Alligator mississippiensis: one gene and its partner. The protein of the gene in region 1 interacts with the protein of each later gene in a biochemical or structural test. Links are inferred from orthologs where the notes say so. Each region holds a gene or a part of one and is shown on either strand. Other genes may lie near its edges.

What was found.
Region 2: the proteins of APBA1 (region 1) and CNTNAP4 form a complex in vitro, tested with the Homo sapiens proteins (2 studies listed by BioGRID and IntAct, with this or other methods). The link is inferred for Alligator mississippiensis from reciprocal best matches to the Homo sapiens genes APBA1 and CNTNAP4.

Annotation. Positions count from the first base shown.
Region 1 is NC_081826.1:193,877,169-193,892,197, forward strand, and holds the start of APBA1 (amyloid-beta A4 precursor protein-binding family A member 1), read right to left. Parts: upstream 11,163-15,029; 5' UTR 10,966-11,162; intron 1-10,965. UniProt on the Homo sapiens protein: Putative function in synaptic vesicle exocytosis by binding to Munc18-1, an essential component of the synaptic vesicle exocytotic machinery. May modulate processing of the amyloid-beta precursor protein (APP) and hence formation of APP-beta.
Region 2 is NC_081826.1:208,855,694-208,870,852, forward strand, and holds the start of CNTNAP4 (contactin-associated protein-like 4), read right to left. Parts: upstream 7,660-15,159; 5' UTR 7,580-7,659; coding exon 7,369-7,579; intron 1-7,368. UniProt on the Homo sapiens protein: Presynaptic protein involved in both dopaminergic synaptic transmission and GABAergic system, thereby participating in the structural maturation of inhibitory interneuron synapses.

The DNA of each region.
Region 1 (15,029 bases):
TGATAATTGAAGTACCCCAGTTGGTGTCAGATGTGTATAAAGGCTATAAGTAGTTACAAATTAACAAGTCTAATGGTTACCAAACAATGAGAATGAACCTTTATTTAGGAAAGGAACTTAAAAGTATAAATGGAAAAACAAGAATAAAATCTATTATTTCAATTAATGTTACCTGCTTGCTGATTTCAATCATTATTAAAATTGGTGATTTCAGTCAATTTACAGTGATAATGAAACTGCAGGTAGTTATCATTATAGCACACAAATAATTAATGTCAAGCTTTTTCAAGTTAAACAGTATTTTTTTTGCATATTTAAACTACATACTGGGCCCATCTACACATGTAATGAATGTGCAAGACTAAACTCAAGAGGTTATTGCTCCAGAGTTTTTTGGTGCACAGTAGCACATGTGAAGATGTTGTCTTGGCCAGCTGGGGTGCAGCGTGCCTCAGCACGGGGCTAGCAGCCCCTGTGCTGAGAAACCCTGTGCTCCAGGCAGCCACTTAGCAGCACGTGGAGATGGGGGTGCCCCAACCAGTCGGGCAGCAGCTACGTGTGCGCTCCTGCACATGAAAAAGTCTCTGGAGCAGGGTAGTACCTGTATTTTACAAAAATACACTACTGCAGAGTTTATTAGTTTCATGCGTCCCTCTTAGGGCGCATGTGTAGATGTTAAGACATTTACTGTGCAGTTAATTAGTCTTCTGCACAGTAAATGCCTTGTGTAAATGCACCCACTGAGTGCAAAGACAGCATTTAATTATTGTAAGGTCATGGCTAAAGACATAATAAAGTTGAAACCTAAATAATATTAGTTCAGTAATAACTATAATATATACTAACAGTCTATCATAAGCAATTAATTGAATGTTGTTAGAAAAGTAATGTAGCAAGGTAGCAAATAGCTTCATTGTTGTTTTTTTTTAAACTCAGTATACTTCTAGAATAGAAAGCTTTTTAAGAACTATAAAATTAGCTCACCTTGTTATGGTTAATTTTATTTAATATTAAACAAACTGAATTGTGTCACCATAACCTTTTAAGTGGTGTATGTTAGTCACTTATCACTATCAGCAAGGTAATGCCTCCTTGAGTGAGAGCAGAAACCTGAGTTTAGCTGTGCTTAGCTATGACAGTGAAGGAGAAGTATCATAGCTGGGAACATCAGGACAGGACACTAAGGGAAGGAGAAGATATTAAGAATGTTTAGAGTGTTTGAGTTACATAAAAAGAATTAAAATATTATGTTGTATAGACTTTCTTATTTAATACACAGACTATAGGGACTCAGTTATGACCATGAGAGAAGGCAGGATAGATTTGTACCATATTTACTAACTAAATCAGAGACATACAGCGTAAACTTTTGTAAGCAGTGGGACGACCTCATCAGACGCTATAAAAATTACTGAAGAGGTTCTTATGAAGTAAAACATAATCCCCGAAACTAAATGCATACCATAAAAAGCAGGAAAATAAATTCCTTAAATCTTTCATTGAACAAATAGCACTTCCATTTTAATTGCAAACAACCATTAATTTAATAACAAAAAATAACCTTCAGACTCCTTTTCTACTTGAGTTTCTCTAACCTTACATATCTTAATATTTCAGCACTTCTTCAGTATGCAAAACTTGGTATTTCTTTAAAGCTTGTTAGGGTAACTGGGGCTAAAAGGATATGTTACTACTCTACTCTTTGATTACTTGCCTTCTAAACCGAATGAAGTTCCCAACTACTGTACAATGGTTAGAAGATTCCTGGGGAAGCAATCATTTTTCCTTCTGAGTAAGTATGCTGTCTGCCTCCTACCCTTCTTCTCAACAATAGTAGCTGGTTAAGTAAACTGCATAGGCACATCCAGATGTGCATGGACATTTGGTTCCCTGGGGACAAATAATGACGGCACAACTTGAGCCACTGCTTCTTGTCCCTGAGGAACGCCCATGCCACACGCGCTTTGGAGCATGGCAAGTGGCCCTGGGTGGCATAGGAGAGGCTGGAGCCAGCACTGTGCTAGGCCCAGCAGTCTTACCTGGGGATCTGGGGACCTCCCGGATCTGCAGCCACAGTGATCATGCTGGGCAGAGCCTAGCCAGCAGCCACAGCATGGCTCTGGGCAGCCCGGCTCCGCTCTTTAGCAGTGCATGCTGCCCAAGCATGTGCTGCTTTGGGGTTTTTTCCACGGTTTTTTGTTTGTTTGTTTTTTTTACTTCTGGATATCCGGGGTCAAAAAAACCTGTGGGAAAAAACCAAAAATGGAGCAGCACATGCTCGGGCAGTGTGCCCTTGCACGGTGGAGAACTCCGAACTGTGTGGTATGTGGTGTTGCAAACGTGTTTGCAGCACCACATACTGCATGATTGCACTCATCTGGATGCGCCCCATGTCTTTAAAATTCTTTAGGCAGATAACCAAAGGTTAATTTGAAGCTACATCAGGACCTGTTGGACTGTATTTTGAAAACTTAAAAAAAAATGTTGAGCAAGTCATTTGGGTAAATCTGATATCTTTTATTAGATCAACTCATATAGTTGGAAAAATTCTTCTTTGCAAGCTTTTGGGTATAAATACCCTTTGTCAGGCTGAGGATATTTACACCCAAAAGCTTGCAAAGAAGAATTTTTCCAACTATTTGAGTTGGTCTAATAAAAGATATCAGATTTACCCAAAAAACCTTGTCTGCCTATGTCCTTAGACCAACATGGCTACAACCTATAACCCTAGAGCAAGTCATCTCGGATTCCACTCAGGAAAAAAGATAATTGGTTCAGGCTTTTCCATTCTTTAAAAATATCCCAGAGTTCCATATGCAGCTTCTGATTTTATTATCATCAAAAGAGTTGTTTAAACTAGGGTAAAAGGTATATTTTAAAAATATATTAGCAAAAAATACACTGTTTACAGTCATGTTGAGTAAGTTGTACTCTCTCATCCATTAGCTAGTGAAGATGAATGCTAGAAAGAAAAAATACAACATGCTTTGTTTACAGTTCGGATTTTAAAATATATTAGTTGAAAAAACAAAATAATTTTTTTAAGAAACAGATTTCAATTTTTTCTAAAAATTGAATTATTTGCTTTTTCTCCCCTCTTGAGTATTGCAAACAAGCATCCACTTGTTATTTTGAATTCTTTTAGATATTGGTGATTAGTTATTAGACTTTGGGATGTGTTGACTTGTCTTGCCCATCCCCCACTACACACATTTATTTTTCTTCCTTGCTGATGAAGTTAGGTGTTAGTACAAAAGATTCAACCAATTTTCATGAAAAGGCATTTCCCGTTAAGAAAACTTTTGATAAAAGATTTTTTACTAGCTCTATTAAATAGACCAGAGACATTTAACTACTGCTTCCTTTCTCTCCACCTGTGCACCTGTAAAAATGCAAATAAGAAGTCAGAGGGCACATCTACACATACTATCAGGGGCAGCAATAAACTGCAGCACCTTTTGGACCCCACAGGGGTCCCCCTACCAGCCTGGGGATGGTTCAATGTGCTGCAGAGGGACTGGCTGGGGCATGAAGGTGCTTCAGTGTGGGGCTAGCTGGCAGGCAGCCCCAGTACTAAAGCACCTTCGTGCCCCAGCCAGCATCTACACATACGCTGCTGCACACAAAACAACTCTGCAGCAGGGTAATACTTGTATTTACAAGTACTACCCTGCTGCGGAGTTTATTAGTTTCCTTCACCCCCTAATAGGGGCACACATGTAGACATGGAGATGTATACTGAGCAATTAATTATAATTAGTCAACTATGCAGTAAACATCTTGTGTAGATTTGCCCAGAGAGTAATTTTCCAGATTTACACAGGGAGTCTACAGAAGACCTGGGAACTGAATCTAGCTTCAGTTCAGTGTCCCTAACTACAAAATAAAACTCATCTAAAAAAAATGAAGAGGCATTTTGAGTACTGAAAACTTCCTTGTTACTAGAGTCAAATTTAAGGGAATTGCCATTCTTATCCAGGTGACAGATAACTGGGTTTCTCGGACTTCGTAGCTCTGCTATCTTAACTATTTTCCGGATTTGCTTCCCAATTTTAAGAGTTGCAAGTCTGAATAGCAAGTCTAACAAGGAAGCTTTTGGTTGATAAAAAAGATGCTATAGAAGTTCAGAAGATTATTTTTATGGTTCAATTCTTTGAAGAGGCAAAAGTCATAATGTAAAAGCAGCAGACCTCCTGAAGACGACTCAGCTGCTTTGACTTTTGAATCTAGAGCCCTAAACCATCCTCTAAGGTGCCAGCATCAAGTAGAATAAATCACTTAGTTCAGTGCATGAAACTAACAAAATGATAGCGAATAGGTGAGAAATTATATGTAATCAGCAAAATCATTTCTTAGAAATATACGGATCATAGGAATCATAAGAAAGTAAGGCTGGAAAGGACCTCACAAAGTCATTTTATTCATCCCCCTACTCAAGGCAGGATCATCCCTGACTAAGCAATCTCAGCCAAATGTCTGCTCAGCCTGCTCCCAGGGATGGAGATTCCAAAATCTCTCTAAGCAGCCTGTTCCAATGCTTGACCACCCTCATAATCAGAAAGTTTCTCCTATTCTCCAACCTAAATTTCCTTTGCTGCAGCTTGGGTCCACTGGCTCCTAGTCCTGGCTATGGAAAAAAAGCTCATCTATATATTGCCCCACAGGTATTTGAAGATGGTTATCAAATCCCTCCTCCATCTTCTCTTCTCTAAATTAAATAACCCTAGTTTGTTCAGCCTTTCCTCATAAGTCATGCTTCCTGGGCCTCTAATTATTTTTGCTGCTCTCTGCTGAGCTCTCTCCAATCTGTCCACAGCTTTCTTGAAGTGTGGGGCCCCAAACTGGACATAGCATAGAATCATCGACAATGAGATCATCTAGTCCAACCCTCTGCTCAGGACCATCCTAACTATATCATCCCAGCCAAGGCTGTCTATCTGAATCTTAAAAACCTCTAGGGATGGAGATTCTACCATCTCTCCAAGTAGCCTATTCCAGTGCTTTACTACCCTCCTTGTGAGAAAGTTTTTCCTAATATCTAACCTAAACTTCCCTTCTCAGTACTCCAAGATCACTATACTGAGCCAGAATCAAAGGTTACCTTCTAGTCATCTGTGCTGGACAGTTCCTAGATTCAGAGACATGTGGAATAAGACTCACATTAGACAGATGTGGGATAAAGTTGGTCCTCCCGCACAGGGACAGATCCAGCAGGGGTGCACTTGCACCTCCCCCCTCCTTTGATTCTTACTCCACCCAAAATTTAAAACCAGCTGCTAGGCAATGGCAGCAGCATTTCTAGTCAGGCAGTGCTGAGGGAGTCAGATGATTTCATGGCTCATTGTAATCTACCTAATACCTTCTAAACTCTTCCTTCCACAGGTGTTTACGACTCTCTCTCCTTTTAAATGGTCTTGATGTTCCACCAAACTATCCTTTGTTCTGCAGTTCTGCTGTCTGTTAGCTGCTCTTGGTGATGAAGCTTCTATTTCACAGGCCTGCAGCTTGGTTTTTAACACATTTCAATTAAGTTATATTTGTTTTTGCTTCAGTCTTAAACTGAATAATATAGCCCTGGGACCCTAGCATATTAGCAAAGCTTCTCATTTATTTTTAACTGGAGAAGAATGTGTTGTTTTATAGGTGATGGTGCACCTCACCATCTACACCCCTCTTTTCAAAATTCTAGATCCACCTATACCCACACACACACATCCTCCTAATCCCCAGTAGTTAGGAACTGGTTTTAAGATATTAATCATGAGATTTAATATTTCTTCCAAAATATAAATAGGCTTTAATTTTGGATACTCAAATTATCCATAGTAATGAGCAGCCTCATTCTGAATCCTCATGTAAGTCTTTTGGTTTCAGCTCTTGGCAGTGAGTTCTACAGTTTAATTACATAGTGGGAACATCTACGTGTGTGCATATACTGCACAGTAACCGAAATTACTGTGCAGTATGGGCATGCATCTACATGTGCCTGCCTATACTGCACAGTAAATACGGCAACTTATACCTACTTGAACGTAAATTTGACCTGCATCATAGAAGTATCAAATTTATGCCCAATTAATGACTGCACAGTAATGTACGTATAGACACCTTATGGCGGAGTAACACTACCTTGTGTGGCCTGACTTGGGACCAATGTCAGTCTCATGTCAGTGCACACATAACACTAATGTGCTTTAACACATGCACTTTAACTTACTGCGCACTGAATTTAAGCCAGTGCAAATGCAGGTGTAGACATGCCCACTGTGCATCTAAGTATCTCCTTCTATCAGTTTTTAATTTGCCATCTTATTTTCAAATTTTCCCTTTTTCTTTTGCTATGAGATGGTTATTATTCCCCCTCTTGTCAGTCCCCTTTCTATGGCATAAAATCCCACTGATGATTAGGGGAAAGCTTACTTAAAGTGAGATCTATTCAAGGACAGAAATTTCCTTCAAGAATTGTAGGGGAAACCATTTCTTTCAAGACATTTGAAGGTAGTCTGGACAAAGTGGTGGAAAATGTTCTGTAGGCACTATGTCTGTATAGGTAGCAAGGTGATCTGGGTGATTTTTCATTAAGATATATGAAGCTTATGTTTAGAATAAGAACAACATCATGTATAAATAAATGAATAAAGAAATAGAAAGTGAAAATGCTAAATATCTATTTTGGAAGCAGCACACAAAGAATGTTCCCAGCCCCTTCTGGTAAAACAACACAAAAATGCACTTCTGTAGAAAAGCACATTTTTAGTCAGTGAGAACTACTGCACTGCTCTGAGCAGCAGGCTTACCAATTCAATACTATGAAGCAAAATTAATCAATCCTTTGTTTTCAAACACCCCCAACCCAATCCAATCTACATTTATTTGTTCTACTTCAGATGAGAATAGCTCATAGTAATTAGAAGACTTGCCACTTTTATTCAATAATAAAAACAACCAAAAATGCACTCCTGTAATATTAGAAGTCTGACTTCTAGGTATATGAACAGGATCCTATTCAGACGTACATCTCACTTAATTAGCTAATGAATGGTGGCCCTTCACTCTTCAGCATAAAGTATATGTAAAATCATTCACTGATTGACAGTACAATTCTTCTTTCATATAACCCAGTGTAAATCAGGAGTAACTCCATTATAGCAATAAACATCATAGCTAAAGGAAAGAGTCTGGTCTGTGATATCTAAATGTGGGTTGAAAGCTTCAGCCTTCATTTTGATTTTCTTGGTTTTTTCATTGTGGAGGGACACTGAAACCTTGCAATCTATACTCACTTTAAAATAAAAAGTAAGAATTCATTTCATGTCCTAAATCTACCCTTTCGTTTATGCAGTAGTATAGTGCACTGGATTAGGTGATTTGTCGTCTGTCAATTTTTGTGGTTTTAAAATCACAGTTTCCCAATTTTACCTGATGAAGTAAGCTCCCTGCTTACAAAAACTTAGACTAACTAAATCAGAGATGTATAGCATATCAGGTATAAATATGCTCTGCCTTCTTCCTGACTTCAGACTAACTACCACACTTTGATTTTATCTGTCATAATGCTTTCTTAAAGACCCACATGGACTAAAACAGTGAAACTGTCTATACTCAAAATGCTATACACAAACGCACCTAGTAAATGAACAGGAAAGAACAGGTAGTGAGTGCAGAGATTTTTTTTCCCCTCTCATCTCTAGCAATTCTAGAATGCTTAGTTAGGTCTTATCTTTAAAACTGTCAGATAAAAGCATTTTGAAACACAGCAAAATTTTCAAGCTGCCAGCTTTTCTTTAGGTCAAAATCTTGTTTAAAATGTATTGCATTGTTAGAGGTATACATTATTTTAGGCTATACAACAACATACAAGAGGTGGTGTTAGAAAATTATAGATCCCATTACTTGTCCCATTAAAGACAATGGGTCCTAATTTAACAGTATGTAGAGAAAAAATAGGTTCCCGGTTACTGCTATGTTCACTCAGTTCTCACACATTTTAAACTGAGGAAATGAAGTATAAGCCTTTCTTAACTGAAGGTGTTACACAATCTTTCATAGTAACACAAAGCAAACAAGACCTTTACGTTTACAGTTTTATACCCCAAAACTGTATCCACCTAACTGCATGTAACTGAATATATCAGTCTCAGGAGAATGAACTGAACCTGCCAGAATTTTCTTCTTTGGTTCCATGGAGGCTAGGGATTTCCAACACGACAGCATGTCCATTATACCATTACATTTTGTGATGCTATTGAATGTGATGACAGCTTCCAAGCTATTACACATCGGAGTGTGTGTGCACATGTGCAAGGAACGTTTTTAGAAGCAGATCTCTCCCAGTGCCTCCTGAAAGGTGAGGAATGACAAAACCTAGATAGATATTTGAAAAAAAAAAATGTCACTAATATAATAAACAATACTTTGAAGTTAAGTAATTGTGAAACTGAAAAAGGATGCCTGGAAAGCATTTCTGCTTTCTCCACAGACCTTGCCCCCTCAAGAGAACAGCTCTTTCCTAGCTAACTAGGGCCTTCTAATAAAATGTACTTCTGTTGGCATCTTTCACTTTATAACCAAAGGGTCAATCTATGAATATCTCTTCTTTAATAGGCTTCTAAAAGGCTGGCCTTTGCATCTGATAGAACACAGAATAATAGTCTGAAAACATTACTGCTATTTTAAGCAAAGACAACGCATTAGTGCAAAACAAATGCATTGCTGCAAGCTACAAGAGAAAAGGACAATAACTTAGTCCAGTGAATTATAGTTTTTGTGCTGTACCCCAAGCCTTGTCTGCCCATCATTTAATGAATCTGTTCAAATGTAAAGCTTATATCCACTTTTTAATCCACACTATTTCCAATTGTTAACCATTTTTCCAATCTAAACAAGTCAGATATTCTCTCTTTCAACTAAGCTTTCTATACATTTTATATTGTATAATTAGAAATGCATCAAAACTTCTCAAAGTGCAGGAAAAATGATCAATTTACCACAATTTACAACTACCTATGTCAGTGCATTACAATTTACTGGACACTCAACTTTTCAGCATATACATTCCAACAATATCACCAGCTGATAGCGGTGCTTTAAAAACTGGTAACTGCTTGCTCACTCTTAATTGGCAAGGAAGAGCTTTTAAAAGGAGAAAACTAACTAGTCTGTATTTTAGATGACAGTTCCAAAAAAGCCAACACATGAACACAGATTTAAGATTTAAATGTTTCCATTTATGTAAATCTACCCCTAAATCTTGCATAATTACTCAAAGCACAATTTGTCACAACTTTGGATCATAACTAAAGAGTATAGAAACCAAAAATAAAAGCTGTGCTTTGCACTGTCTGGTTTGCAGATGTCTATGATGCAACAGTAGAAAAAAAAGAAAAGAAAATTAAAATGATAAGTAGACTTTGGACACTAGAAGTTTCTAAAATGACTGATAGATTTAAAGGTACAACTGACCTCACCCCTAAATATTTCTAAATCCCTCCACTGCAATAGCGACAAAGATATTCCACCTTTATTTTCCAAACAACAAAGGTGACGATGTGTTGCGTATTTGTTTCTGGAGGTATGGCAGCCACAGGCTGCAAAGACAGGGGCAGCCAGTTCAGATTTTGACAGCAATGCAGTAGAATTTAAAGTACTGTGACTGGAATATTTTCCAGAACAGGTTGGTTGGGACCCTCTGATCCATGCTAACAAAGAGGTATCAAAACACTGATTGTAGGATGGGCTCCTGGCACCTGGCATAAGGTAAATGTACAGTGCAGATAGAAATCCACACCATATGCCTGATTTGCCCCATGTTAGCTCATCCTTAATGCCTGCAGTCAGAAAAACATCCGCGCCTTCTAGTCCCACTGCTTTAGTTCCTGGGCAGCTATGACAACAGCCAGAGATCTATGGCACACCTTGTGAAGTGAGCCATAATCCTTCAGCGCCATAAAGCCACAAGGAAGCAAAACGACGAAACATCACGCTTCCAAAGACACAGGCCTCCATCCTGGCCTCTCTCTCCCATGCAGATTTCCACACAGGCTGACAGAAAAACAAGCCTTGGGGAACTGCGCCCCACAAGACCGAGCTCTGGGAAAAGTGAAACACAGAGGGCTGCAGTAACTGAATGGAAGGGCCCCACAGCGCTGTGCAGATGTGGCTGGGGTGGGGGGTAGGGAAGAATAGCAGTTCCTAAATCTGCTGGCAGACAGTGACAGCAGCAGCCGCTGGTCCCTCTCCCAGCGCAGGGGTGGAGAGCAGAGGGGGGAAGTGCAGGGAGGCAGCAAGGCGGATGGAGGAGGGCTCCCTGGCACCTCTTTGCAAACCCCGACTGCCTCGGCCTTTTGGCAAGGATCAAGTGAAACTGGGGGCGGGGACACACGAACCCCAAGGCCTCCAGGCCTAGGGCTTGCACATAAGATTGCCTGCCTGGGTCTGGGGAGTCCCCGAAGCCCAGAGGGATGGTTTGGGAGGGGGTAGAGCCACACGCAGACTTGCCGATCGAGCTCTGCCCAGGTGAATTTGGGAACTTGACTCTCGGGCTCTGCCCAATTGGATCTGGAAACGATGTGGCCTTGAACAACATAAAAAAAAAAAACCATCCAGGGGGGACGGGCAGCCCAAGCTGTAGGAAGAGATGCCCTCCTCCCAGCCCGCTCCTGTCAGGCCAGCACCACGTGCTCCCTGCGGCAGCCCCAACCCCCACATGGCAGGACCCGGCGCCGGTGCCGGTGCGGAGCAGGGCGAGGATGGGGCGAGCCTGGCTCGGTCTCTTGCGTTGCAGCGCAGGAGGCGGCCGCCCATCCGCCTCCCCTCCCCCGCTGCCCAAGCCTGGCCGCTGCTTCCCCCGCCGCAGCATCCCCGGCAGGCGCAGCCCTAGCCGGGGGCGGATGCAATCCCGCCCGCTTCCTCCTCCGGCCCCGCACGCACCGCGGTGCAGCCACCCCCGGCTGTCCTGCTCCTCACCGGGTTGGCGGGCCGCTTCAGCAGGCCGCGGTGGGGCAGGGCGGCTGCAGGCGGGAGCCGCGAGCCTGGGCACACGCCGGCACTTCGGCGGCGGCTGCTGCTGCTGCTGCCTCCAGCGCCGGCCCCAGCTCCACCATCTTCCTCCTGCCGCTGCTCGGGCTCCGCAGCCGCCGGCGGAGCCCGTCCCCGCGCCGCCCCCGCCTCTCGCTGCCGCCCCGCCCCGCGCCCGCCCGCGTCACCCGCCGGGGCCGCCCCGCGCGGCGCTGCACGAGGGGCGAGGGCCGAGCCCTGCGCCTCCGCCGCCCCGGTGCCCGCAGCCAGGCTGCCCGAGGAGAGGGTGTCCCCGTGCAGCCGGGCCCCTCGGCCTCCCTCCCACAACCGCCAGCCCCCTCGGCAGGGGCGAGGCCGTGTTCACCCCCCGCTTGGTCCCCACTTTCCCCTCTGCCCAGCTGCACAATAGGGATGCCACTGAGGAGAGCTGACACACGGCTGGGGGTTTTACGCCTCATGTTTCGCTGGCTTTGAGGAAGAGCTGACAAGGGCACCAGGTCTGCCCTCCCCGTTTTCCTGGCATGAAGGAAGCGCTGACACGAGGGCACAGGTTTTACCTTTCACGTTTTCGTGGCACTGAAGAGGAGCTGACGCAAGGACCTGGGTTTTACCCTCCCTGTTTTCCTGGCATTAAGGAAGAGCTGACACAAGGGCGGGGGTTCTACCCTTCATGTTTTTGTGGCATTGAGGAAGAGCTGACACAAGGGCACAGGTTTTCGCTTTCATGTTTTCATGGCAGAGGGAAAGCTGACAGGGGTTTTACTGTTCCTGTTTTCATGGCATTGAGGAAGTGCTGACACAAGGGTGGGGGTTTTACTCTTCATGTTTTCATGGAGACAAGGGAGAGCTAACACAGGCAGGGGTTTTACTCATGTTTTACATTTGGGGAGCAAAACCTATCTGTACAGCTACTGCTGGGTGTGTTGGCCAGCATCATGAAATACATGCAGCCTGCAGTGACTTAGAAGGTCAGGTAGGAGATATCTGTATTTCTGTTTACCTGATTCTCATAACCATGCTCCAAATTGTGTTGATCAGTTCAAGTGTGGTTTCCCAGACGTATAGAAGGGCAGAACACAGCATCAGATCATCCTGTTAGTCCTTCTCCATGTCATAAACCAGCCGGCTTCACTCAAACACCCAAAATGAAATCTGCAGTGTAAACGATACTAAATAGTCCAGTGCACACAAAACCTATAAGGTGTGCCACAAGCAGAGTACAGGAATGACCAAAGTGCCACTCCCTGAAGTCCTGCACTAACAAGTAACTGATTAGATGAGACATGCTCAGAGGTTCCCAGTAGAGAAAGATGAGGACCATACCAACCTGACCTCAAGAGAACAGAAACTCCCTCTCAACCTGAACCTAGTACAGGCAGTCCTTGAATTACAATGTTTCGCATCACAACATTTCACACTTACATTTATAAATTGACACCTGTTTCAACTTTCTGACATCAGTTTTGACTTTACAATGCTTGATCCTCTGCATCCCCCATCTCCCTGGAGAACATCTGTCCAAACTTCCTTGGACACTTTCTTTAAGAAAGCAGACAAGGCTCCAGAATAACCTGCAGCCAAGACTCCTGAGAAGACTCCAGCCAAGAACCCTTCAAAAAGTCCAACCGAGAGCCCTTCAAGAAGTTCAGCTAAGTCACCTCAAGGAAGTCCTTCCAAATCAATATGATTGCTATTTACAACATAAATACATTAATGTAGCTATATTACTCATCTATAATTGAGTACAAAATTATGGGTTATTTTTGGTGAAAGTAGGGTATCGGGCCTTGGTTCAGGAACCAATCCCCCATTCACAACATTGTTTCCTATGGGAAAATCAGTTCCAAGTTGCAATGTTTTGACTTAAGATGCAGTTTTCAGGACCCAATTGTGTCGTAAATCCAAGGATTGCTTGTAATCAGTATGATACACCTTATATGAACAAGACTTACGTCCCAGGACCCGAAAGGATTTTCTATACTGCTTCAGAGGACCAAGATACCCCATCCTATTTCCTATTGACACCTGTGGCCAATCTGATGCTTTAGAAGAAAGCAGGAAGGAAAAGAAAAAAAAAGCAATTATATTATGCATTATGCAAGAAAAAAATCCTTCTCGACTCCTGGAGGCAACTGCCTGAAGCAGGAGATTTTATTCAAGTACTTGTCTTAATGCAGAACTGCAATTGTTAAGAGCATGTTGAAACCAATGTAGACAAACCCAGTCATTCCAGGACCCATTAAAGAAGGTTATAAACAGGGAGATTGCTATCCACAACTTTCAGTGGCTGCTGAAGTGATCAACATCATTTTCCATCCTACTTAGGCCCATACACTCCACACAGACTGAAGAATTTATTCTAAAAGCCAAATTAGAGCATATCTTTCAAAATGATATATCCATCCACCCTATAGAAGCCAAGTGCTGGTGAGGCCACCATCTCTTCTAATGAGATATTCCAGTGTGTCATGACTCCCGTTCCCTGGAAGCTGTGTCTTATTTCAAAGTGGAATTTATCTGTTTTCAATTTCCATCCACAGGATCTTGTTACAGTCATGTCAGGATATCAGAAAAAGGCACCCCACTACCAAACATCTTTATGTTCAAGTATCCCTACATAGCAATCAAGTCACTTCTCAGTTTCTGTTCAATGAGCTGAATAAATTGAGCCACTTCAGACTCACACGACAAAGATTGCTTTTCAGTGCTTAGATCTCATGCTTGTGGCTCTCCTTTGAACTTCTTCCAGTATTTTTATCCCTTTCTAGCCATGTGAACACCAGATATAGGCACAGCATTCAAGCATTTGCACAGAGGCAAAATCACTTCCCTGCTCTTGGATAGTCTCCTTTTATAAATAAGCATTGGATTAGTCTGTTTTGCTATAGTTTTACACAAGGGAGGCACATGGAGGCATTTATCCCTAATGACCTCTAAGTCCCTCACTGAGTCACTGCTTTCTGAGACAGTCTTCCATCCTGTAAATTTACCCTGGATGCCAAATCCATTATCTTGTATTTAGCTGCATTAAAGTGCATGTTATTTGACTGTATTCATTTGACTGAATGAGTGCGTGGGGGGGGGGGGGGGGGCTTATATGTACATGTGTTGGGTTTTTTTCATGCCCAGGGAGGTCTCTAAGCCTCTAGTTATAAGATTATAATTGTTTTTATTTTACGAAAAAGATTTTAAAAGCTGATTGAATGATGGCATCCCCATCCCAAATCAGTGAGACTTGGAGGCTTAACAATACTTCCCTACCTCTCACAAATGCTGTGATAATTAAGCCATTTTAAGCATTACTAACCTGTACCTAGCTAGTAATGGAACAGTTGTTATTATACTATCCACCATATTAATTTAGAATCTAAAGGTATCAGCAGAAGAACTTCATTTGTCCTGAGGCTGATATCCTAAGACATAGATATCAACATGGAAGAATGTCACTGTTACATCTTAGTAGGGGAGAGCCTCTGACACATCTGAGCCCTTCTGATTCCATTCAGTAGAGCCCAGCTGTATCCCAGAGCCACAGTCCATTCACTACATCACTTTAGAAGTGCAAAGCATATCAAATATGTGCAGACTGCAAAAAAGCATGGTGGAAAGACTGATTTTGTAAAATCTCCTGCAAACAATCCTGCAGTGCTTTCTGCTTAGGCAGTGACTGCTCCAGGTTTTTCTTTCTCCCTTTGTTACAATGAGCACATTCGACCCCCCGCCCCACAATTTCATGTTTCCTTTGCTTGCTGTCTTTATTTCATGACCTAATGTACATGCTCTCTCTCTTCCTCCCTCCTGGGAATGTTGCCTACCTTCATAAACTCATGAGAAGAGAAAAACTCTTTCTGCAGAAGGGGCACAGGGCAGAGCAAAGAAAGATGTGCCTTTCTGTGGAATGCATCATCATCATCTGATTGTACATCCTACCACAAACTGGCAGGAGCACAGTGTGTATGTAAGACCCTGAAGCTATTGATCCTTGACAAAACTGTTGAATCTTGACAGGAAAA
Region 2 (15,159 bases), about 15 Mb from region 1:
CCCAGTGCACCAGGATTAAGCCCCACACTACCCTGCATGTCCCATCTAGCACACAGGGCCACAAGACTATGTGAATCCCCACAGGATCTGTTGGGAGTCCTATGGGCCAGATGACATAGTGCTAGGAGCCAGATCTAACCTGCAAGCTGGAAGCCAAGCTCCCTGCTCTGCATCCATAACATGCTGTAAAGCATGTAAAGATGTAACATCGCTATCATAAGATCTAGAAGCTCTCTCTGATGTAGGGTTACTTTTGTCTGCTTTAATTATGTTTATAAACAGATCAGAAATTTAGAGAGGTTACATTTTATAAATTAAACAAATACTATATACAGTTCACGGATTAACACAGAGTTTTGTGTGCAAAGCATATTTTTACAACTATATTCCAACTAATACTTTCATTCCTATCAGAACTGAAAATTTCTGTGGCCCTTTTAGCTTCTGAGACCTGATAGACTAGGTTCTCTGGCTCAGCATGGACAGAAAATAGAAGAAAAGCAATAAATTAGCTGTTTAGGCAGCTGCAAATATTATCAATGGGAAACTGGAATTCAGGTAAATGACCCTTCTGTCTCCTGTGCAATGCAGCTTTTACATTGATCTCTTTAAGGAAGTAGTTACTACAAATCTGGTAAAAACTGCAATAAAAATGTCAACAGAATGAGAAGTTATAAGATCAAAGAACAGTCATACTACCATCATACCTACCTTATTCTTACTTATCAGCTTGAGTCAGTATTGCCAACTTGCATGATTTTTGGCATTGTTCTTAAAGTCTACACTTCAGGAATATATATATAAAAAAAAAAATTAGCTCTTTCTTTTATTTATTTATTTATTTAGATAGATAGCTAGATAGCTAGATAGATAGAAAAAAAGAGAAAGAGCTAAGTTTCTGACATTCCCAAAGTGTAGACTTTAAGAACAACACCAAAAATCATGACAGTTGGCAACAGTAGATTTTATGAATAAAACACACTTCCCATGATGCAGTGTGTGAGACTCCCAATAATGCAAGCAGAAAGGAAAACAAAGTGCAATGTAGTTCAATAATCAAGCATTTAAGACAAAATGGAGTTGTCAGGTACCCAAACTTCAGCTCTTAGAGACATCACAGAAACTAAGGAGTTCAACTTAACGTCATAGTGACTCAATTAAATATTTTGGTTCCATTCAGCAAATGAAAATCTTGGTGTCAGTTAAGCTGACCCAAAACTAAATATTGCATTTCAATTTTCTCAATGAAAAAAAAAGAAGACAGAATTTTCTCATAGAAAAGTCAAAATCAGAAAGAAAATTCACTGAAGAAGTAGTGAGAGAGAATTCAAGGACTTCAGTAGGACTGCTTGAGTGTACAGTAAGCAAATTTTGCCATAAAAGATTACAGATGAAATTGGTATGTAGGAAGAGGGGGAAAAACAGTAAAAAGCTGATCCCAGAAGAGATGACTGATCAGCTCAATACTTACATTCTTTAATTTATGAATGGAGTCAAGGCAGCTACCTGAGCTCCCATTACAGCCCACATTCTCTTCATCATTCACTTCAGATGATTATTTAAAGTACTTTCCTTACACTTTTGCAGATCCAACATCCATTTTCATGGGGAAAGGAATGGAAGCAGCACCTGGCAGCTGTCATCTAAGCTGTTAGAACACTTATAAATTTCAGCTGTACCCTGTCAACTTAACTAGAAGGGCTGTTTTTCAGTACCAATCCTTGGCCTTCTAAAGTCCCCAAACCAAAAACCTACCCTTACTTACAATACATCAGTTAGACAAGAATGTTGTTTCAGTTACAGGGCTGGGAAAGTCTCTTAACCTCAAGGAAAGTTTACTTTATATAACTGAGATCAGAATTTAGCAGCCTGCTGTCTTAAAAAATCTCTTGTAGATAAGTAGTACCTTGGGCCGCACGTGCCATTTCTATTGTGAAGTTGTACAACTTCATATTAAGACATACTATGGAACAGGAATCAACACGGGGGTATGTCCAGAATCAATGCTGCCAATTTTATGAAGGCTTCTAAAATAACCACAGCAAAACTTTTAGTCATGTTAATGTTTTAGGAAGCAGAAAAGGTCTCTCAAAGGTCTAAGAGGTCCATAGATGGCAAGCTGGAGGAGAAGCAGCCTAATATATTTAATAAAGCTCTTACCCCAGAGTCTGAGTCAGAGGGCATATCTACACATTAGGGGGCAACAACAAACTGCAGAGATTATTGCTCCATAGTTTACTGCTCCCAGGAAGCTCCAGGGCACACATCTGCATGTGTACCCAGACAGAAGCACATTGAGCTGGGTTGCAGCAGCCTAAGCTGGCAGACGGCCTCATAGGGCCAGTCTGCCACCTCTGGGCTGCTCTGACTGGGCTCAATGTGCTGTGGTGGGGCTGACTGGAGCACAAGGGTGCTTCAGCATGGGGCTAGCCAGCAGGTAGCCCCAGCACTGAAGCACCCTCATGCCCCAGTCAGCCAATCAGCATCTATACATGTGCTGCTGTGCACAAAAACACTCTGCAGCAGGGTAGTATTTGTATTTACAAGTACTACCCTGCACCTGTATTACAAATAGTATGATGCTGGGGAATTTGTGAGTTTCATGCACTCTAATATGGGACACACGTATAGATGCTGAGACATTTATTGCACAGTTAATTAGTCAACTGCACAGTAAATGTCTCGTGTAGACATGCCTAGAGCAACCAAACTTATAGCCAGAAAATAAAAATCCTGAGGCCAGTTCTGGCTTAGTATCCTAAAGCCAGAGAGAGATCTAAAACCCGCAGCAACCAGAAACACTTCTGGTCCTTCATTTGCTTCAGTTCCTTTATACTGCCCAGTCCCAGTCTTGACTGCTTTGGCTTGATGCTCCAATGCACTCCTTAAAAGAGAACTAAACTCTGCTACATATCCCCAAAACTCAACTGAACATATGCCTGCCTTAGAGAATCATATGGTAACGGTTGCCAGAGTCATTCATTCATTTTGTGTTCATCGCACCAACATGATAATGGCATCAAAGAAGTTGCAGATTACAAGTGATCAGGTAGAACCCCAGATGAACACATTGGCTGTATCCACATGAGCATGGACTTTTGGTTCCCCAGGGACAACTAGCAGTGGCATACTTGCTGCTAGTGGTCTTGAGGGAACACTTGTACCATGCACCCTCTGGTGTGCTAAAAGTTACCATTGGTGGGGTAGGGGAGGCTGAAGACAGCAGTGGTCTGTGCCCAGCAGCCTTACCCGGGGTCCTGGGGGCCTCCTGGGGCTTCAGCAGTAGAAATCCTGCTGCTCAGAGCCTGGCCTGCAGCCGGAGTGTGGCTCCAGTTGAGCGGCATGTGGTGCCCCTGTGTGTGCCACTGCACTTTTTTTTGTGTGCGTTTTTTTTACCTCTGGATATCCAAAGGTAAAAAAAAAAACCCCATGTACTGCTACCTTGCAGCTCAGAGAACAGCTGAATGTGTGGTATGTGGCACTGCAGATGTGTCTGTGGCACCCCATACTGCATGGCCACGCTCATCTCCCACTGTCATCCTCCCTCTGTACACGGACTTGGTGAGGCCGCAGCTGGAGTACTGCATCCAATTCTGGGCTCTACAATTAAAGAAAGATGTTGAGAAGCTTGAAAGAGTCTAGAGGAGAGCCACGCACATGATCACAGGGCAAGAGAACAGGCCTTATGAAGACAGGCTGAGAGCCATGGGACTCTTCAGCCTGGAAAAGCATAGGCTTAGGGGGGGACCTGGTGGCTGCCTATAAGTACATAAGGGGTGTGCAACAGGATCTGGGGGAATGTCTGTTCTCCATAGTACCCTGAGGGATAACAAGGACCAATGGGCATAAACTCCTCCAAGACTGTTTTAGGCTGGACATAAGGAAAAACTTCTTTCCTGTCCAAGTGCCCAAGGCCTGGAATAGACTCCCTCCAGAACTGGTGCTGGCACCTAGTCTGGACTCATTCAAGAAATGTTTGGATGCTTATCTGGCTGGGATCCTTTGACCCAAGCTGACTTCCTGCCCCTGGGCAGGGGGCTGGACTTGATGATCTTCAAGGTCCCTTCCAGCCCTAATGTCTATGAAATCTAGATGTGGACACTTAGTACATTGGTCCCAGAAATGGAGACTTAGTGACCCTATGTTCAGTCATGCAGGCTATCAGGGCAAGACAGATCTTCCAGGTTCAAGGCTAGCTCATTTACCACTGAGCTCTTCTTCCTCCCTAACACCAGAGCATCTGGATGTATGACTATCTTTTGTCCTTATAACACACCAGAGAAATATTCCCATTTTACAGATGGAGAAACTGAGGCACACAGCCTAAAAGAGCATTCTGACATCAGAGAGAAAATCTGTGACAGACATGAATTCAAGTCTTCATAAGGGGAAAATAGAATTTGAATGGCAACAGTGCATGGTGCAGGAGCAGCAGCTGGCAAAAAAAAAGTGCTGCAGGGGGGAAATGTCACAGAGAATGCCTCACCTTTTTTTGCCACCAAGAATCAGCATTTAAACTGCCAATTCACACATCAGCAGGAAAAAAAAAAAAAAAAAAAGGTGGTGACGTCTCCTCCCACAGCAGCAAATCTCTGGCTCTGGCCCCTTCACCATGTACTGCATTTCCCAGGCCACAGAACTGGCCAGTCATACCTCTGTCCTCAGCACCCAAACTAGTAGCTGCTTCCCCTGCCCCTATCACTGGTCACATTCATATTAACTTGCTCATAATCAACACAGAGACCCTTTGGAGACTTTACATGTTCTTTACTGCGAAGTTGACTAATTAGCTCCACAGTAAAGCATCACTGTCTACACATGCAGCACTATTAGGCTGGAGTAAACTAACTCCACCATAGGCTAGTACCGCCCAACACAAATACTATCCTACAGTGGAGTTATTTAGTGCGTCACAAAGGATACAGAGATGGTGACCAGGGTTGGTTGGGGCATGTGGGTGCTACAGTCCGGAGCCTGATTGCTGGCTAGCCCTGCACTCTACCACCCTCGTGCCCCAGCCAGCTCCTCTAGAGCATGTTGAGCCAGGGCAGAGCAGCTCCACACTGGCAGAATGATCCCTTGGGCCCCCTGCCAGGCAGGGCTGTGCTGTCCTAGTTCAATCTGCTGTGGTCCTGGGAGAAAATATCAACACTGCATCCAGGAGCAATAAACTCCAGCACAAATTGTGGAATGTATTCAGCTGCACTAATTGCACATGTAGATGTGCCCTCTATGTCTGAGACATACATTTATGATCTTTAAAGGCATTAAAGAAGTCAGATAACCTTTCATTATTCTTCATTTTGAGGAGAATTTCAACTGTACAAAAGAATCTTGGTACCAGTCAGTCAGTTCAATGTTTATCTTGTTCTCTTACTGCATAGAAACATATAAAAAATTACACAAGGTAAATCTCTGTTATTCATAGTCTCACCATGAGAGTTGTTTGTTACTTTAGCAGTTACATAAAGTAAAATAATGCTTTATTATAATGGAGAGGGTCAAGAAGGCAAGGAATATTTAGGGGATGGTAGGATGTAGCAACAACATATATTTTTAAACTTGTGTGTGTGGTGGCTGATAGAATATGATAAAAGTGTCTTAAATATTAAGAGCACAATTCAAGGTAGGAGGAGAGCTATATCAAGATTCAGATCTTTCAAATCCTACAGTTTAGACTGCTTATGTATTAGTTTTGTGTTACTTATTTTACAAGGTCCTAAAATCCTGGGCCTTTGGGTAGAAGGTTCACAGAGCATCAGCCAAAAAAAAAAAAAAAAAAAAAAAATTAGAAGTCCTCCCACTTCTGATTTGGTGGTATATCAGCAATTAACTTTTCACTTTCCCATGAGATTTTATTGCAGGTCATTTGTTCCCTGTCCTGCCCCTTAAAATGCACCCTCACCAAAAAAAAAAAATCTTAAGTTTTTTCTAATCAATTTTCATATAATAAATACTAAATATTAGGGAAAATGCACATGAAAGAAGAACAAGTTTGAAAAAATTCTAACAAATTAAATAACAATTTTTATAGTAATTATTGAACTTTAAGATTTAATTTTGAAAAAATAATAAAATTTGCAACTAACTTCAGAAAGCCTACTGGTATTTAATATCAAAGCAATAAGACAAATAATAAGGCAAAATGTGTCATGATAGTGTTACCTTATGAGACTTAAAGTCAAATAAGACCCAACTTTTAATTTAATTCACTGGCAATTATTTTCTAGTTTAATTCAATGAGGTATGATTACACTATTCGTGTTGTTGGTTAATGTAATTGTTAGCTAAAAGTTGTTTAAATTTACATAACAGTAGTACCCTAAAATATTGGGACCGAGCCAAAGTAATTAACATAAAACAATCATTTCATTTAACTGCTCATGTTTATTCAAAATTATAGGTCATTACTGTTACAAAGCTGGAAAATTTAATCATTTAAAAAAGGTTTATATATATCAAGGGAAATACAAAATTCCATTGCTTTAGATTAAAACTGTGTTTTCTCAGGTTTTGAAGTACATAAATATACATGAAACTACCTATAAACTTACTGCTGGTTATTTTTTAAATTATATATTTAAGCTTTCAGAATTTGAAATGATGAAATTCCATACAAAAATTAAATCACCAATACTAGTCCAGTAATGAATCAACCTTCCACAATATGCTAACAAAAGATCCTACTGGAAACAAACTCTACTCAAGAATTCGGCAAGAAAGGAAGTGTTTAGCACCTAAAAATGATGTGTAGTACACACTGTGCATGTAGGCCTGTGTACAATATCTCATTATAAATTCCAAAACTGGGATGATTATTTTAGGCAAAGCTAATTTAAAAAAAAAAAAAAGATGTTTCACTTGTATTTCCTCCTGCTGTGTTCTAGCTTGTTTTGTATGATGGTTGTTCTTGTTTTAATATAGTCTTTTTACTGAATTCAAAACGCTAATTTACAGTAGTACTTGTAATGTTATGTATATAACTACATTTAGCAAAGATGGATAAGAAATTTATACAAAAAAAAAAAAGAAAAAAAAAAGAAAAGGAAAACAGGCCACAAAATAAATTGGAGCTACTTTTCCATAATGCAATAAAAACTACAGACAATTCAATATAAACCAAAGTAATTTCCAGAAAGAACTGGTACAATTTCAATAGTAAAGATAGGAATTAAAGATAGGAAACATTTATCCACTTCAATCACATTTATTTTCTGAGGTAAATTTAAGAATAAATTCTGAGCACCTATTGATTTTTTTTTAAATCTATGTCTGGCGGCGAAGTGCCCCCACAGGCTAGTGAGGGAGAGAAGGGAGGACCCACAGACCCCAGACCCCGAGAGCAAGCCCCCAGAGGGGCATACGTACCGGCTGAAGAGCAGCGGGAAGAGGAGCCGCATCCGCGGCTGCAACCACGCGAACCGCCATTACGCAGGTTCTGGCAACAGCTGTTCCCGGCGCGGTGAACAGCTGAGCCAATCCCAGCGGCTGTAGTGGCCGCAGCGGGAAGGTTTAAAAACGCCGGCAGGACAGGGAGAGAGGGGGAGCCAGGGAGAGAGAGTACGGGCGGGCAGTCCATGTTGTGGGCTCTCGCACAGAGCGGAGAGGACCCAGCCTGTGGGTCTCAAGCAGGCAGCTTATCTAAGAGCTGTACGCCTTTCGCGAACAGCAGAGTGAAAGGCGGTCAGAGAGTGCGAGCCGAGGCACTCTCTCAGTATCCTGAAGCGGCTGACGCTCAGGAGGGAGGGGAGCGCTCTGTTGCCGGTAGGAGAGGGGAGAGAGCGAAGGCTCCAGGAGGGAGCTGGAACCAGGGGGAGCACCCACCAGCTCCTCCTGATTTGGAGGAGTATTTTCTGTAAGAAGGGAGGAAGGAGGAATCACTCCCAGCAGGAGGGAGAACGACCGGGAACCGGGGACCCAGTCTGAGGCCGTCATACAGGGCCTGGAAACATCTGGAACACATCACCCAGTGGTTGGCGTGTGGACGGGGTGTAGGGGAGGCGGAGCCCCGTGGACCACCGTGTCACTCAACCGTGAGTAACACCGTCTATCGGGAAGCCCCACCCAGGATAAAGATCTCCACTGTAGACCCCTCTAAAGGTAATTGATTACATCCAAGTCGTGGCAGGCGAGTTGAGGGGAGGGGCAACACCCCGATAGGCCAGGCGGAGCTAGACACAGGCTTCACAGTGGTGCATTGGCCGGGAAGGCGGCGCCATTCTCGTACGGTGTTAACGGGACAGTGTCCCGACCCGGGACCCGATAGTGATGCAGCAGCCAGTCCTTGCGCCCACGGAGCTGCTTATGCAGGCAATCCAGGCCATAGGGCAGGTGCTGGCAGTGCAGCAACAACAGGGCGCACACCAGGAGGAGTGGATACAGCGAAATGCCACTTTATTTAAAATGCCCAGGATGACTAGGGAGGATGACCCATATCTTGTATCGAGGCATTCGAGAGGACAGCCATCCAGACAGGGTTGGACCGTGGTCAGTGGGGCCACCACCTGGGGGCGCTGGTGATAGATCAGGCCCAAGCGGCCTACCGAGCGCTATCAAGGGATGAAGCTCGTGATTACGAGACAGTGAAAGCAGCAATCCTCTACAGGCTTGAGATTTCACCGGAAAGTCATCGGCAGGCCTTTAGAGCCCGAAAGTCCAAGGAGGCCAGGCGACCCCGGGGGTTGTTGCAAGCTTTAAGGGACTCACTCAACAAATGGTTGCCAGCCAGCAAGTTCGACTGGGTGGGCGTGATGGACCAGATCCTGTTAGAACAATTCATATAGGATTTGGAAGAGGATGCCCAGAGGTGGGTATGCAGACACCAGCCGCAAACTAGTGAAGAGGCACTTCATTTGGCGGAGGCCTTTGCGAATTCGGAAAGGGAACGGGTATACGGACGAGGCTCCCGAGGCATGAAAGAGGGACCCACAAGCGAAGGGGAAAGGCGAACGGTCTCGAGACGAGGGCCACCGAAAGGGGTGGTGTGTTACCGCTGTGGGCAAACCGGACACATCTCCTGTGTATGTGGGGAAGGCCTGAGCGAGCTGAGTCACACCCCAACAGGATATCCACCCTCCCAGAATAGAGGCAAAGAGGCGGAGAGAGGGGAACCCATGGATTGCAGTTTCGGGTTGGCAACCCAGAACGAGGGATGGAACCGGCCCGTAGTAACTGCATGGATTGGAGACAGGGCGGTTAAGGCCACATTGGACACGGGGTGTTCCCACTCCCTACTTCGGGCAGACCTCACTCTGCAGAGGGAACGGAAGAGTGAGGGGCCCCTGACGATGACCTGCATACTAGGGGGGGAGATGCAGTTCCAGACTTGCTATGTTCTGCTTAGGGTGATGGAGTTTAGCAGAGAGCTACGAGTTAGAATTGCCCCGACCCTGGCATGTGAGATGATACTAGGCCAAGAATGGGGGCCATTCTATACAGTCCTCGAGCAAGTGAGGGCTACGCAGGAGGAGAGGAACCGGATCAAGAGGGGCGACGGATGGGCCAGCGACGGCCCAGCCCGTCGCAACGAAACAATGACAGACGACATTAACCTAGAACAGTTCGTGAGTGCAGCCCAATTTCATAGGGCACAACATGAGGACCCGGAACTGCAGTGGATGTGGGACGCCGACTCCGGGGAAGGACCCTCACAGAGGCGTCCCGGCTTCGAGGTAACAGGGGGGCTATTATATCGGGTCCAACGGGGTGAGGACGGTACCATACGGGGGAGACAATTAGTGGTCCCGACCTCACTTCACAAAGTGGTGTGGAGACTAGCCCATGACTCACCCCTGGGTGGCCATCTGGGACGTAACAAGACCCGGGCGAGGCTGGCCCAAGAATTCTTTTGGCCTCGTCTCCAAGAGGATGTGGAAAGGTGGGGGGCCGCATGCCCAGAGTGTCAGAGGGCCCAGGAATGGAAGCCCCCAAGGGCACCCCTGAAGCCCATGCCAATAGTAGAGACACCGTTCTCGCGGGTCGCTCTGGATATAGTAGGACCCCTCCCCAGGTCTCATAATGGATACCAATATATCCTGGTGATGGTAGATTATGCCACCCGTTTCCCAGACGCCGTGCCCCTAAGGTCCATAACCGCCACTCGAGTAGTGGAAGAACTTCTTAAGTGGATAGCACGGGTGGGCATACCTGAGGAGATACTCACAGACCAGGGAACAAACTTTATGTCTGGGGTAATGAAAGCTTTATGTAAAACCCTCGGCATCACCCATCTAAAGACCTCGGTCTACCATCCCCAAACTAACGGTTTGGTAGAAAGGTTAAATGGGACCATCAAGCGGATGCTCAGGCGGTGTGCCCAGGAAGACCCGCGGAGGTGGGATACTATCTTGACACCCTTGTTGTTCGCCATAAGGGACGCTCCACAAGCGTCAACCCAGTACTCCCTATTTCAGTTGGTGTATGGCCATAGCCCTTGGGGACTGCTACAAATCGTAAGGGAAGAATGGGAGAGGCCAATAGGCTTGGGGGTGTCAGCGGAGAGGTACCGGGAAGAGCTACAAGACCGAATCTCCACGGCCCAACGGATCACCAGGCAAAACCTGAGGGACGCCCAAGGCATACAGGAAAGGCGTTACAATCAGAAGGTGAAAACACGGACGTTCCAGTCGGGGGACAAAGTTTTGGTATCGCTGCCGACTTCCTCCAGCAAACAGCTGGCCATGTGGCAGGGGCCATTTACCGTGGCGAGACAAGTAGGGCCCATGGATTATGAATTACTTAAACCAGGTCACCGCCGGGAATGACAGATTTACCACGTGAATCTGCTCAAGGAGTGGAAAACACCTCAGGGCTGGTTGGCCCTAGACGAGGATACAAAGGAGAACCTGGGACCGCTGTGTCATGGGTTAGGGAGACCCAGGAAGGAGGGAGCAGTACAGATGGGTAAGGAGTTGGGCAATCACCAACAGCAAGAATTGCTAGCTTTGATAGAGGAATTTAGGGCAGTGTTCCAAGAGATCCTGGGACGAGTAACGGGAGTAGAACATGAAATCAGGACCCCTCAGGGAGCACTGGTGAGGGAGAGATGGAGGCCGATACCTCAGCGGTGGCAACAGGAAATACGGCAAGAGATCAGGAGAATGCAAGAACAAGGGATTATACGACTGTCCCACAGCCCATGGCGGAGCCCCATAGTCCCTGTCATCAAACCGGATGGGTCATTGCGCATATGTATAGACTACAGGAAGCTCAATGCCCTGACTACGTTTGATGCCTTTCCGATGCCCCATGTCACTCACCTCATTGAGAAAATCGGTGAAGCACAGTATATAACCACGCTTAATTTGGCAAAGGGATATTGGCAGATCCCGATGCGCCCCACGGATTGCGCCAAAACAGCCTTCAGGACCCCATGGGGCCTATTCGAATTTACGCGGCTGCCCTTCAGCCTCAACGGAAAAGCTGCGACATTTCAGAGGTTGATGGACAACCTATTGGCACCCCACGCAGCATACGCGGCGGCATACATTGATGACATCATTATATTTTCTGCCAGCTGGCAACAACACCTCCAAGACCTCAGAGCAGTCCTGGGGGAACTCTGAGCAGCAAGGCTGACCGCCAACCCGAAGAAATGTAAACTAGTGGGGAAAGAAACAGCATACCTAGGATTTTGAGTAGGCCGAGGGACAGTTCGGCCACTCACAGATAAGATTGAGGCTATAAGGCAGTTCCAGGAACCGCGAACCCGTAAACAACTGCGTTCCTTCTTGGGACTCGTTAACTATTATCGGCGATTTATACCCTGCTTCGCGTCGCTTGCCACACCACTTAGACGCATTAGCTGGGAAATCTGTGACGCCACTGAAATGGACACCGGGGATGCGAAAGAGCTTTCTTTTTACAGACGGATGCATCAGGATGGGCGCTGGGAGCAGTGTTACTACAGAAACACGGGCAAGAGGAGCGCCCAATTGCCTTTGCCAGCAGGAAACTCAGTCATGCAGAAACCAGGTATGCCACCATCGAGAGGGAGTGCCTGGCAATACGCTGGGCAATAGAATATTTTAAGTACTACCTGATGGGGAGGGAATTCGTGGTAGTAACAGACCACGCACCACTACAGTGGTTGACACAGAAACAAAGCATGAACACCAGGATCACCCGCTGGGCTTTGGCTTTATAGCCATTCAAATTCATGGTGATACACCGCCCAGGCCGAGATAACTTTGTGGCTGACTTCTTGTCCAGGTGGGGAGGCGCAGACGACGCAGAGGAAGGTGCGGGCCACATCCATAGGGAGGAGCAGGTGACACATGCCGTCACGAGAGAAAATCAGCCGCCACAAGGCAACTTAAGCGGGGAGGTCTGTGGCAGCGAAGTGCCCCCACAGGCTAGTGAGGGAGAGAAGGGAGGACCCACAGACCCCAGACCCCGAGAGCAAGCCCCCAGAGGGGCATACGTACTGGCTGAAGAGCAGCGGGAAGAGGAGCCACATCCACGTGAACCGCGCCGGTTCTGGCAACAGCTGTTCCCTGCGCGGCGAACAGTTGAGCCAATCCCAGCGGCCGTAGCAGCCGCGGCGGGAAGGTTTAAAAACACCGGCAGGACAGGGAAAGAAGGGGAGCCAGGGAGAGAGAGTACGGGCGGGCAGCCTGTGCTGCGGGCTCTCGCACAGAGCGGAGAGGACCCAGCCTGTGGGTCTCAAGCAGGCAGCTTATCTAAGAGCTGTACGCCTTTCACGAACAGCAGAGTGAAAGGCGGTCAGAGAGTGCAAGCCGAGGCACTCTCTCAGTATCCTGAAGCAGCTGACGCTCAGGCGGCAGGGGAGTGCTCTGCTGCTGGTAGGAGAGGGGAGAGAGCGGAGGCTCCAGGAGGGAGCTGGAAACAGGGGGAGCACCCACCAGCTCCTCCTGATTTGGAGGAGTATTTTCTGTAAGAAGGGAGGAAGGAGGAATCGCTCCCAGCAGGAGGGAGAACGACCGGGAACCGGGGACCCGGTCTGAGGCCGTCATACAGGGCCTGGAAACATCTGGAACACATCACCCAGCGGTTGGCGTGTGGACGGGGTGTAGGGGAGGCGGAGCCCCGTGAACCACCGCGTCACTCAACCGTGAGTAACACCATCTATCGGGAAGCCCCACCCAGGATAAAGATCTCCACTGTAGACCCCTCTAAAGGTAATTGATTACATCCAAGTCGTGGCAGGCGAGTTGAGGGGAGGGGAAACACCCCGATAGGCCAGGCGGAGCTAGACACAGGCTCCACACCATGATTTGGCTGATCAATATTTTTAACATGTACATTGTTGTAATGTTTATTGATAAGACATTCTACTTTGTGTAACGAGTACCTAATTCCTCTTTAAAGATGAGAAGGCTGAATATGAGATGTGAATTTCCTCTCTCTCTCAAATATAATTTTAGCCTTAACCTTTAAGAACTATGTCATTCCTCACAAAATATGATTTTGAAGGATAGTGTTGTTGACCGTGATGGCAAACATAGGATGCATAATGGGAATAAGGGAATGGATATGTAAATTACCATAACTATGTTGGAAGCAAAATTAACAAGCTACCTGCTTGTGGACTATTTTGGCACTTTGCCTTTGTCAGTCAATGGTTAAATATTATATATAAATATTATATATCCACAATTATAGATGTAGATCCTGCCCTGCTGCTGCTGCCTCAGCCCCAGATCTCCTGTGGGGCCTCCACCCAGACAGAGCCCTTGGCTGGGTCAGCAGTGCCTTGCCCCTCAGTCTGTGGGAGTTGCCTGGCAGGACCTCTGGGGCCCGGGGGCAGTGTGGGGGCTGGGGGTCCCCTCGCCTGTCCCACATGTACCTGGATTGAGGCTCTGGAGGGGCAGGTGAGGGAACTCCAGGATGAGGTAAGCAGGCTGCAGGGGATCAGGGCTGCAGAGGATGAAATTGAAGGGTACTTTCATTCTCTGTTGGACAAGACACCTAGTACAGAGACACCATGAGAGGAACCAAGGCAGCCGAATAGAAGACGGTCACCTCCAGAGTCAGACAGCATGCAGCTGTGACTGCTTCCCCAGCGCAACTAGGGAACAGATATAAACCCTTGGCAGCACTGAAGGATGATGCAGCAGAGGAAGTCTCAGGGGAAGACACACCCACAACAACCATGCAGGCTAAGCAACAAGTGGGCAACTGGAAGAAGACACGTTGGGTCATTGTGGTGAGCAACTCCCTCCTGAGAGGCACAGAGGGGCCTATTTGTTGACCAGATCCCATGGCGTGGGAGATTTCCTTCCTGCCCAGTGCCAGGATCCAAGACTGTCATGGCACAGGGTCCTGTAGGATGGCCGTGATCTCCCCAAAGCCCCCTTACCATGCCAAGTTGGCCCAAAGGGCACCCTCAATTCTCGTCCACCACTTCTTTGATTGTAAAGATAATAGGGAGGCTGCCTTTACATCATTTTGGACACGGTTCTGCTGTACTCACTGACCCCGTGGATTCCTTAACTCCTTGTGGGTCCCATTCTACAATGGGTGTTTTGGGGCACCCTAGCCTTATGGGCTATGCATGGCTCCAACTGCCCCTTTACCACACCCCAAGCCATGCAGATGGAACCAACGTTGTTCGATCTGGGACTTATTATAATTTGGTTCCCTTGTCCTCCCTGGGCACTCCGCGGCCCTGTCTCGCACTGCGCCCTCACTAGCACTCAGGGCTGGTGCACCCCGAATGCTACGCCCTCCCTGGCACTCTGGGCCGGTGCACCCCCAAAATCCTGTGCCCTCTCTGGTGCTCAGAGTTGGTGCGCCCCCAATGCTGTTCCCTCTCTGGCACCAGGGTTGGTACACAGCCAATGCTGTGCCTTCTCTGGTGCTGGGGTCGGTGCATCCCCAATGCTGCGCCCTTTCTGGCGCCAGGGTCCCTGCACTGTCATGGGTTCCCTATGAGGCCTCCTTCTTCCCTTAATAGCCTCACCCAAACCACCGGTCTTAAGCAGCAAACAGAAAACACAAGCCCCTGGGCTATAACATAAATTCAAGCCTCCCGGCTATAACATCATTCAAGCCACCCCAGGGGTGCTCCATCCCTCACCAGTATCAGGAGCTACTTATGCAGTCAGGCCTCTCCCCTTTGCTTGCTCCGGCAGAGCTCCTTCCTCCTTGGCTGCCAGCAGGGAACTGTCCCCTGGCCTCAGCCCTGGAGTTTATATG